Drosophila melanogaster: one gene and its partner. The protein of the gene in region 1 purifies or fractionates together with the protein of each later gene. This does not show direct contact. Each region holds a gene or a part of one and is shown on either strand. Other genes may lie near its edges.

Region 1 (5,532 bases):
AAAGCGCTTGGGAAGAGAGAGCAACAATTTTTGCTCGTTCTGTTTACCTTGGTTCGTTTAAGCAAATATTTTTAATTGGCTATGATTTAATGCGACTTGCTTCTACTTGTCGCTTGTATACATTTTGTATTTTATTCAATATATATATATTTTTTTTTTTTTTTTGAATTTTTTATCTTATTTGTTGTTGATGAACACACTCGATCTGAAGGTTTTGGGGAAACGCACGCACACACGCACAGACGACACTTACACACACTTGGACGCGCGGGAGCTGCCACAGAGGGAATTGGAGTATTTATTTTCTTTGAATTTTCTTTGACTTTTCTTGTTTTGGCAGTTTTTTCTTCACGCACTAGCCAGCAAGTTTCTTTTTATGCACCTCGATAGTCAGCGACTTTAAATTTGGCTATGATTCGATTGCGATTTCGGTTCGATGTTGGGGCTTCCCCGCTAATTTTCCCACTCTGCACGGGACAGCTGAACTAACGGTACACACACGCCAAGGCAGGCGAATGGCGGCAGCTCGGAGTAAGTGCGTCCTGTCTGGTTGTACCCTAACGACTTAATGCGCTCAACGCAGCTTTTCACACGGCCATGGACCACGAGCCACGCAGCATCCACAATTTGACTCAATCCGAAACGGAAAACGAAAAACGAAGCTTCCAGCCGAGCGCAGCCGAACGGTTTGAGTCACCGCGTTAGGGAGTCCGTTTTGGTCCTGTGTATTCTGTGGCACGAGTGAAAGCTGCCCTGGAATGTTTACAGTCGAGTAACGAGCGAGCAACAGCAGGACCTCTGCCAGCGGAGACGCCAACAGCAGCCGAGGCAGCGTGATTGTGGGCGTCCGTCGCTGGTCAATGTCTCTATACTATACCTGAAAAAATAATGGGCCTGGACAGGGACACGGCTCGGAGCACTCAAAAAAAAATATATATGCTGCTTTCGAGGGAGTCACTAGAATCTCTGGAGATCTGGAGATTCGCATATGCTGACATACTTTAAGCCCAAAAGAAGTACGACTATTGCATACCGAAGCGAAAGTCTAAGCCCTGTGGCACCATTTATAATAGCATCTTAATGGACTTCTAAACGTTTCAGTTGACACTTCTCACAATTAAGTTAATAATCTTTTTTATTATACAATAATATAAGTTTCTAATACATCTAACGTATACTTAATAATATTGCGTATACGTCATTCATATATAAGCCCTTTAGTTAGTTTGATTGTGTATTATTTGATTACTTTTGTTCAATTTATTTCTTAACTATGTATATGTATTTATTAAATAAACTACGTTTTTTTTGAAGGAATATTGTAATATACAATATTTTTCCAGCGTAGTCATCCCTGTAGACGAACCCTAATTAATGAGCGACAAGTGCGCGCCCAGACTCTGGGCTTTTATGAAGTTGGTGCCGAAGCTCGAAGATGAAACGCTGCTGGATGACTGGCTAATATTTTAGTAGGCGGAGGAGACAGCGACAGCTGCAGCGATTTATAAAGACACAGGCGGAATTCCAAGGAAATAATGTCACAGCTGGCTGGTAGGAAGAAGAATGAATCCAGCAACATGAGCACACTTATCATTTTTATCATTCCAGTTGACCTTGAAAAAATCGTTGAATGCCCATTGCGATAATCCCCCAAATTGGCCTACTGTGCGGGAGAGCTTATAGCAGACGAGCTTACGAGCATGAATTATAGAAACCAATAAAATTAAGTGCATTAATTTATTTCTGTTGCTCTTGCGCTGGCATACGAAATTGGAAGTTGGCACTGCCAAAAGCCAAGGGCAAAATAATCAAATATAACAAAAACGATAACAGGATTATATTTGATGCATACACTTATAGGGATGCACATGCAATCATAAAGCCGCTGGGCAGATTACATTTGGAGAGCACTGTGTGTGTGTGTGTGTTGTTGTTGTAGCCGCCAACACAATGAAATGAACAACAGACATCCTTTAATATCATTAATTGCGGCCGAAATGGATTAATCAAGAAAATGACTTGTAATTGTACCAAATAGACAATGAACGGTATATGCATTTTAGCTAATATTATTCATAGTGCCGAACTTAATATATAACAAAATTATTCCTATTAGCTTGTTCGTCATTTTGAAACATATGCGAACTAAATAAAGTTTGTATTTCTAATAGCATTTCTCAAGTTTTTATCGTTAATTAGCTCAAGAAATTTCAATATTCTAGCTAATAAACCATTTTAATAGGTATGTGATACGGTTCGAGTCCGAGCTAGTTATCTGTGTTTTGTACCCACTGCCTTAACTGTCCTAATACTATAGATGGCGCTTTAGTTAGCACTGACTGTTAACTCAGTTCTGTTAAGCGACTGAAAAACGCACGAGCCCAATAATCAATACGGTCTTTCCAACGTGCTTGAGCTTGGTCACTCTGCCATCATCGTGCGAATTAAAGTTCAGCAGCCAAAAATGCCGGAAGGGAATAAAATCGACTTGTCCGGGGACGGTGGCGTCCTAAAGGAGATCCTGAAAGAGGGCACGGGCACAGAGACGCCGCACAGCGGATGCACTGTGTCCCTGCACTATACGGGTCGCCTGGTCGATGGCACGGAATTCGATTCCAGCCTCAGTCGCAATGAGCCCTTCGAATTTTCGCTCGGCAAAGGTGAGTGTGTCGCCGGCAAATTCGCGAAACTTCTATTTAATGTACTTGCCACCGGACACCTGCAGGCAATGTGATCAAGGCCTTCGACATGGGAGTTGCCACCATGAAGCTCGGCGAGCGCTGCTTCCTAACATGTGCTCCAAACTACGCTTACGGAGCTGCCGGCAGCCCGCCAGCCATTCCGCCGGATGCTACTCTGATTTTTGAGGTAGGAAATGAAATTTTATTGGTTAACTAAATATGGAAAATTCCAGATTTTATGCGTTTCTTAAGAATTTTACATATAGATGAGTAACTCCTAACTAACCGTTAAAACTCTTCCTCTTAGCTGGAGATGCTCGGCTGGAAGGGCGAGGATTTGAGTCCCAACCAGGACGGAAGTATTGACCGCACCATTTTGGAAGCCAGCGATAAAAAGCGCACTCCCAGCGATGGCGCCTTTGTCAAGGGTAGGTTTATCACATTCATGCGGTGACTATGTATATCTTATGCGGTTATTCAAATACAGCTCACATTTCTGGTAGTTTCGAGGGCCGCGTGTTTGAGGATCGCGATGTGGAGTTTGATTATGGCGAGGGTAAGGCCATCGGCATTATCGATGGTGTCGAAATTGCCCTGGAGAAGATGAACGTAGGCGAGACCTCCAGGTAAGATAGATCCCTTTGAGCATTAGAAGCTTTTCAGACTAACTTATAAACGCGCGTAATAGAATCAAGATCCAGGCCAAGTATGCATTTGGAGCAAAGGGCAATGAGGAGTTTAAGATTCCACCAAATGCCACAGTGGAGTACACAGTAAAGCTCGTCGACTGCGGCAAGGGACTGGAGGAGTGGAAACTGAGCGACGAGGAGCGCCTGGCTGAGGCCAAGGTGTACAAGGAGAAGGGCACCAACTACTTTAAGAAGGAGAACTGGGCTCTAGCCATTAAGATGTACACCAAGTGCAAGAACATTTTGCCCACCACTGTCCATACCAATGAGGAGGTGAAGAAGATTAAGGTGGCCACGCACAGCAACATTGCTCTGTGCCACCAAAAGTCCAACGATCACTTCGAAGCCAAGCAGGAGGTGAGTACATGCGCTCAAATCGGATAATTTATACATTTGACTATTTTATATTAGTGTAATGAGGTTTTGGCTTTGGATAAGAACAATGTAAAGGCTCTCTACCGTCGTGGCCAATGCAACTTGACTATCAATGAGCTGGAAGATGCACTAGAGGACTTCCAAAAGGTAACCAAGATAAACGTATATTTATTGAGTTAATACAATGTATTGCTATTTATTCGATTAGGTCATCCAATTGGAGCCTGGCAACAAAGCGGCTGCCAACCAAGTGATCATCTGCAAGCAGAAACTCAAAGAGAGCAAGAACAAGGAGAAGAAACTCTATGCCAACATGTTCACCAAACTGGCTGCCAACGACAAAGAGGTATTGCCTACAACTGAATAAATTCAAATAAAGTACAACATTTCTATATCGTTCCTCCGCGTGTTTTCTGCGTTCCTTGAAATCACCAATTTTTCACCGATTGTTAGACCGAACCTCCGCGGGAAACTGACGTGCTGAGCAAGTGCGGAGAGTGGTCTGAAGAGGATGCCAAGCGCGAAGCAGAATTGACGCTGGAGCGCGACAATATAATCATGATCTAATTCAGATCGACTAGTGCTTTAAGAAATATTCCCTAGGGTTTATAATCCCACATCGAAAATCCAGTAATGTAATGAAGAAATGGTCTTAATGCTTATACGAAATAAATATAAACGCTTTGAGAGCTATGTATATCGATGGTCAAGTATTTCGTGGTAGCAGCTGAAAGCTGGGTCTCGTCTCCCTATCTCGCAGCCACAATGGCGATGTGGGCACCTGTGACTTAATATATTCGGAGGCCTTAAAACAGTATCCGGAACAGAATTTCTTGCGTTCTGTGATGTCGTATACTTTGTTTTTGGAAGCGGAGATACTGTACTTTTGCTTGGGAACGCTAAAAGAGTAGTTATAAAGGATAATTATTGGAAGAACCTCTAGATTCTGTTGGAACACTTACTTTTCTAGAACTGTCGAACAAAGTGGATATCCGCAAAGTTTGTTTATTTCCCGCTCATCCACTATGTCTGAATAATTTGGGGGGCCAATCTCACAGAGCTGCGTGTACAGGAAATGCTTAGTCTACCCGTCAAGCTTTTAATTTGCATTATTTTACCAGGGACAGGAACTCGGGCTCCGGTATTCCGGGCTCCAAAAGCCGCACCACGATTTCATGGGCTCTCGCAATCGCCGCTCGTTTCTTTACCACCGCCGCTATCAGTTGTTGTCTGGAAAACAGTGAGTACTTCACTCAGTGATATTGAATATGTATTTATTTTAATTTACCTCAACTGCTCCCCTTTTTCTGTAGTCATTTTACGCTTCCAAAATTTGCAATTGAGATGGTCGATAACAACCTTCGATAGACACTTAGTTGGGAAATATGCGGTCAATCGGTAGCAAACAATCGATATTAATATCAATGGAATGGTCACTCTGTTTTTGCAAAACGTAAATAAAAAACAAATTGAATTGATAACAAAAATGGTTTGCGAGAAGTGCGAGGCCAAGCTCTCCAAAGTTTCAGCGCCCAATCCCTGGCGAACGAGCACAGCTCCTGCGGGAGGACGTAAAATCAACGAGAACAAGGCTTTATCCTCGGCCCGCGAGCGATACAATCCCATAGGGACTGCTTTACCACCTTGCCGGTAGGGAAATCTCCTCAAGAATTCATCTGCATATCTTAATCTGATTTTTAATTATCCAGAATCTGCCGACAGAAAGTGCACCAGATGGGTTCGCACTATTGCCAGGCGTGCGCCTACAAAAAGGCCATATGCGCCAT
Region 2 (5,779 bases), on another chromosome or scaffold:
AGCTTATAGGTTTATCTTGCATGCCTAAAAATCGCAAGGAGCATCACACGAAGAACAGGAACCCAGGACACTGCCCATTTGCTTGTTGTTGCCGTATTTCCATGTAGACTCAAGATCCAAGACTAGCACTAACTTCGCCACTACTTCCACAATTTCACATTAGATGCAAGATTATATGGACATCGTGCATGCCTCCAAAGCGTATTGGGAATCACAAATGAAACAGGAACCCCGGACACGGCTCATTTGCTTGTTGTTACCGTATCACTCGCCCGATGAAAACAATAAAGAATTGTTCATAAATGACATCCTGGGATGTCAACAAAAAGTAAGGTTTAGTTGTGCTTTCAGGTAAGGGAACTTAAGTTATCCGAAAAGTTGCTTTTCAATAAGATTCGTTTCTCGAATTGATTGTGCATGTTAACAGCTTTAAGTGGCAACCGAAAAGTATTTGGATAATTTGGCTTATCTCTTATTCATTGCCAGCAAACGGAATTAATCGTACATTTGTTAAAGCAAAGCCGTAAACGAGCGTAAAGTATCCGGGTCGAAGGCCTCATATTGCTTATTAAGTGGCTGCCGGGATGCCAGTTAGGTAACCATTTTGAGGCCCGCGGCAGACGAGTGTGCAAATAATTGAACCCACCACCAGCACCGCATCCAAAGAACCCAAGGAGGCTCCCGATGGGATTTATGGTACCTGTGCGACCCAGCCCAGTCAACACCTGTGTTACCCTGGGCGAAGCCACCATTGGAGCTCGTGATACCCCTCTAAAAATGTCAGGGTTTTTATTCGAACACCCTACACTCGGATAAATGTGGTAGTGTGTTTAACTATTTCTTTTAAATTGAAGGCTAAATATATCAATATACATTAGGTTCTACTCGATTGATACATTCATTAGCTAAGCTTGTACATTAACTTTGAATACTAATGCTCATCCAACACCTGATTGTGGTAAGAGTTTCTTGCAGTGTATCCCTCCCGCCCAAGATGCCATACAGAAACACCACCCACCCCCCCCCCCTCCCTGCTGGGCATCGGAGGCGTGAAAAGCGCTACTCACCTGCGCACATTCGGCATATCGCCGCGCTCGACAGCCAGCAGGAACTTCTTCTCCTCGAGCAGCAGAGGCTGTGGTAATCCCAGCGGCACACAGCACCCGCCCACCGATTTGGGGGCGGAGGAGGCGTGGCTGACGCCAGACGATACCTGGCATAATTTAAAGAGACAGGTGAGCAGGAGCCACATACGTACATGCCGATGTGGCGAGGGGGAAATCGTGTATGCGGAATTGCAAATAAATAAAAAATAAACATACAAGAAAATTAAGTGCAAAGTGGAGGATGCTGGGCTGATTGTCTGGCTTCCATCTAAATGGCATTGGAGGCGTTTAAGGTAAGCGGCGTTTAGCTAATACTGGCGGCTTTAAGACATGCTACTTGCTGGATACGGATCTGGATCGGGATCCTGGATGGGTTTCTACTTACGCCCGTCGGCAGCTTCTTTTTGCGACCCATTCTAGAGTTAGTGCACTTCACTTAACCGAACGCCAGCAGTTCGTAACTAGTATTCCATGTACCAAGTCCAGGGTTCAGAGTTCAAAATCCGACTTCATGTCGCAGGGCTTTGCACACTTGCAGTGAAAAGTGAACGATATTTACATATATGGCATATATATTTATATACACAATGGCAAAGCCAAAAAAGTCCAATACTAAGCCGGGCCACATGCAACTTTCAAGTTGATTTTGCTTTTGTACTCATAGTTGTATAGTCCATAGTTATATGTCCAACTGGGTGTGCTTGTGTGTGTTGGTGTGTGTGTGTGTGTGTCTGGTGGTTTTTGACTTGGTTTATGGTTTCTGGTTTCCGGCGTGCAAAAAGTTTCTATTTAAGCTGTTTATAATGTTTTTCTTTTTATTTCCGCCACTGACCGAGCTGGCTAAACCCTTTTTAAGTGCCATCTGCATGGGCAAGATTTAAGTTTTGCCAATTTAGTGAGTTGATTAGACACTGTGCAGTTTCACTGTTTCCCGACTGTTACTGGTCAATTCCAAAGGCCACACTGAACACCAAATTCGCGAGCACTTATTGCACCACTTATGACCAATTGTTCAATCGGCTTTCTGTTTTGATTTACATTTTTATTGCACTCATCTCATTAGCAACGAACTGCAGTTTGTATTAGTTGTTGCTGCTCTCATTGGATTGTTCACATCATCGCCAATCGTTTCTCCCATTAGAATTAATTTCTTTGTTTCCCAATATTTTCCCACACCCGATGAAAATATTTTTATTTTCCGCTGCCTTCCTCCGCATGTGTGAACACAATGCCAAAATGAATATTTAAGGAGCTTTTTTCGATAATCCGCAAAGAAAAAATGCATTCCGTCTACATGCTTTTGCTTTAAACTGGCTTTATGCTCCTGCGGATGCGGATCTGCATGCGGATATGGATGCGGATGCTGCAGATGCATTTAAAAGTGTTTGGGCTGGTCATAAAAAATGCAAGTGCTTTGTATGCGCGGCAGGCAAAAACTCGGAACCATCATCATGGCGGTTGTTCCATAAAAAACACTTCCGGTACCAACAAAAGGTGGTTCTGACTACCCCAGGAGCCCCGATGGTGCATTGTTTAATTAACTTAATAGAAATATAAGTGCGGAGGACGGGCGAAAATGCGGACGGACATAAAAATGTCGCAATAAATTCGGTTTTATCCGCCACTTCATGGGAAGCGTTTATAAATGGATTTATAGCTGTTCACCTGCACAGCAGGTGCATACTGCGACTGCCCATCGAAATGGGATTATATCTGCACCTGTATATATTATAACAAGTATAAACTATTCGGTTAACATACGATGTAAAATGCATATGATATTTCACTCTAATTTCTCCCTCTGCAGCCGAGATGTGTTAATTCTGCCTGGCACCGATCGAAGTATCATAATTTTGTCGCAAGCGCACTGGAGTTCATTAAAACTAGAACAAATTTTGAGTATTTTACAGAGTTCATAAAAACGAAGGGCTTATCGCGATGGCAGCCAGTTGAATCGAAACTCCAGCAGTCACAGACCACAAGCTCCGCACACACAGCCCCAACTTGACAATCAACGGAAGAGGTAGGAGCAACCTGCAGCTGCCAGGAGCAACCAGGAGCAGTCAGGAGCAACCAGGAGCACAATGAATGAAGGATATAGCCACGTAATTCAGTTGGCTCACGGACTGCACTTAAGCCACTTATAACCAAGCGTACGGATACGTACTTCTTGCATTCCGGCACATAAAAACGTGTGCAATTGTTCGACTCGCTGGCACAATGGACGTTGGAATTTCATGTGACCGGCTTAGGTGAGAGGACTGCGACTATGAATTGTATGCTGGCATATACTTTATAACAATACGTTTGGCCACCGAACTCCCGAATTCCCGTACAATGTGTGTTGTAGTTTATGTATATCTGAATTTCAGCTCTTTTGAAGGCGAAAACCCGCCGAGAGACAACCCGCGACGCAGCCCGAACGTGTGCCACCTGCGAAATTTACACGCTGCTACTAACGCGCAGAAATTTATACCTTTCCCGAGGGCCGAGCGGCGATGTGGCTAATTTAATTAGACTAAAACGTCAAATATTTGTCACCCATCGCATGGATACGCCTGGAGGTTGTCCGTGCAACATTTATCCACACATATATATATATATATATTTCTATAGGTTTATATATACGTTTGTGGTGTTATGAATTGTGGAGGTCGAGGGCTGAAACACAGTATCAACAAGTTTTCGCCAAGTTCGCCTAAGGGGATTAGGACCCAAACATATGTAGGGGCTGGTGCTGAGGTGGGACTGGTGGTGGAGGTGGGGGCCACGATCCAGACGGCGACTGTCGGCAATTGAATTACAACTAATTTGCCATGATTTGATTTGGGTTGCTACAGCTATTGTTTGCCACTTGCTCTTCGGGCTCTTTTCCGGCCACAAACTGCTGCACATTTGCGGATACTTTCGTGCTGCCCAATGCAGCGTGCGTAATTTGATTTGGAAAATTTCAGTTTAGCCTGCAGTTCGATTGACATTGATTAGCTGCTGTTTTCAATATATGTTAATAGCTGCGACTCGAAACATCTTGCATATAAATCTACTGCTCCTTCTACCATTATACACTTGCTATAAATCTGAAATCTACTACTAGTGTTTTCATTGCCTAATTTTTTTATATTGCAATTATTTCATCGTAACGCAGCATAATACTTGTAATTGTTTGAATTCAATTAATTAATTTTTCACTTGTACCGAATTTTTTCAAATGCTGATACCCATTAAACTGATTTCAAGTAAACCTAAAGAGCCTATGATTGTGTTATTTCAATAGTTTGTTTCATTTTCAACTTGCTATTGAAAAGGGTTCCTGGTTCCACTGGCTGCTCCACTTCAATTGGGATACAACGAACTGCTAGACAGTCCAAGAGGGTCCTTCACATGTTCATATGTCTCCGGCAGAGTCAGCCTTTTGACGGGCATAAACAAATTTGCCCAGGCAAATCTAAACTCTAGATACACAGAGGGCATGAGCAGTAACCAACTTGCCAAACAAAGGCGGAATTAAATCAAAAATCTTAAAATGGATTTTGATGAGATGGAGCATAGCGGGTTGTTGGGCTGCCGAGGAGGGCAGGGATGAGGGGAATCCTTTGGCGACAGACAACAATTGAAGCAGATTCCAGCATCAGCTGAAAAGTCGAGGTTTGGGCCGGAGCTTCGCATGACTGCACGTAAACAGGCGAAGCCAAACAAACAAACAAACACCAGATGAGGTTTTCGGGCGGAAAAGAGTGGAGCAGGAGCAGGAGGCGGGTGTGGCAGGTGGGTTACCATGACTGCGTCTTTTATCAAGCTGCATGCGGTGGGCGAAGAGCTCCAGTTCGGAGTAAAAGCATCCTTTAAGGTTCGTCCTGGCTCCAATCTCCCGATTCTCTGGCCGCGTTGCGATATATCTGGCACTTCCCCTGTCTTTTTTTTGTGCTATATCTTCTTGTTTTGGCCACGTGGCTTTTAGTAATACACTCGAAATTTTTGAAAATCACTTAACAAATAAACTATTTTATAATAAATAATACATAAATTAAGTATGAATTTATTACTTCGAAGACATCTAAGTTTGTGTGCTATCTAAATCTGCAAATAAATAATGGAGAACAGCAACTCAAAAAAGTATAAATCAATTGGTAACAAGTTTCCTTTATTTTTCTGTAGATCTTTTCAGCTTTTCCTAATATTTTCCAGTGCAATTAAACATAATTCTATATCTTTCTGTTGAGCTTCACAGCTTTTCCTAATACTTTCCAGTGGATCTGAGTGTGTCTGGCGATGGCAGTCCCAGAAGCAAACAGACAGTAAGTAGCATAGTTACACGCACGCCCTCACACATTTCGCAGCAGGTTATCCTGCAGCAGGTTATCCTGCAGGAGGCGATCCTGGCCAAGGAGCAGGAGCTGCGGAATAATATGATGCATTTCCATAATTCACCCGGCAGTTCGCCAAACGGTTTGTTGCTTTGCTGCCGCGCTGCACACACACTTTGCGTGTGTGGCAAATAAAATTGCATTCAATATTTCTCCTCGTTTCGCTGCAGCTCGTTGATGAGATTTTTTCCCATGGCGCCGACCTGCCACGCCCCCTCCAGACGTCATATTGTTTGTCTTGCATTAAATTTATGGCTGTTCCGTTGCTGCACTCGCCCTAAATTGCATGTCGGTTATATTATTTCAAGC

The links. The genes of interacting proteins can lie anywhere in the genome.
Region 2: the proteins of Fkbp59 (region 1) and trpl purify together in Drosophila melanogaster (affinity purification with western blotting; one study listed by BioGRID). This does not show direct contact.

Annotation. Positions count from the first base shown.
Region 1 is NT_033779.5:9,885,679-9,891,210, forward strand, and holds Fkbp59 (FK506-binding protein 59kD), read left to right. Parts: upstream 1-2,326; 5' UTR 2,327-2,464; coding exon 2,465-2,660; intron 2,661-2,725; coding exon 2,726-2,868; intron 2,869-2,988; coding exon 2,989-3,109; intron 3,110-3,168; coding exon 3,169-3,307; intron 3,308-3,369; coding exon 3,370-3,727; intron 3,728-3,781; coding exon 3,782-3,892; intron 3,893-3,953; coding exon 3,954-4,091; intron 4,092-4,198; coding exon 4,199-4,312; 3' UTR 4,313-4,441; downstream 4,442-5,532. Other genes in the region: CG34183 (uncharacterized protein), read right to left, coding at 4,452-4,644, 4,708-4,805, 4,864-4,975, 5,034-5,062; CG4537 (uncharacterized protein), read left to right, coding at 5,232-5,395, 5,455-5,532. UniProt on the Drosophila melanogaster protein: May have a role in phototransduction; inhibits or prevents Ca(2+) induced stimulation of the trpl ion channel.
Region 2 is NT_033778.4:9,751,472-9,757,250, reverse strand, and holds the start of trpl (transient receptor potential-like), read right to left. Parts: upstream 3,555-5,779; 5' UTR 3,412-3,554; exon of another isoform or gene 3,274-3,411; intron 1,638-3,273; 5' UTR 1,522-1,637; coding exon 1,492-1,521; intron 1,214-1,491; coding exon 1,068-1,213; intron 959-1,067; exon of another isoform or gene 1-958. UniProt on the Drosophila melanogaster protein: A light-sensitive calcium channel that is required for inositide-mediated Ca(2+) entry in the retina during phospholipase C (PLC)-mediated phototransduction. Required for vision in the dark and in dim light. Binds calmodulin.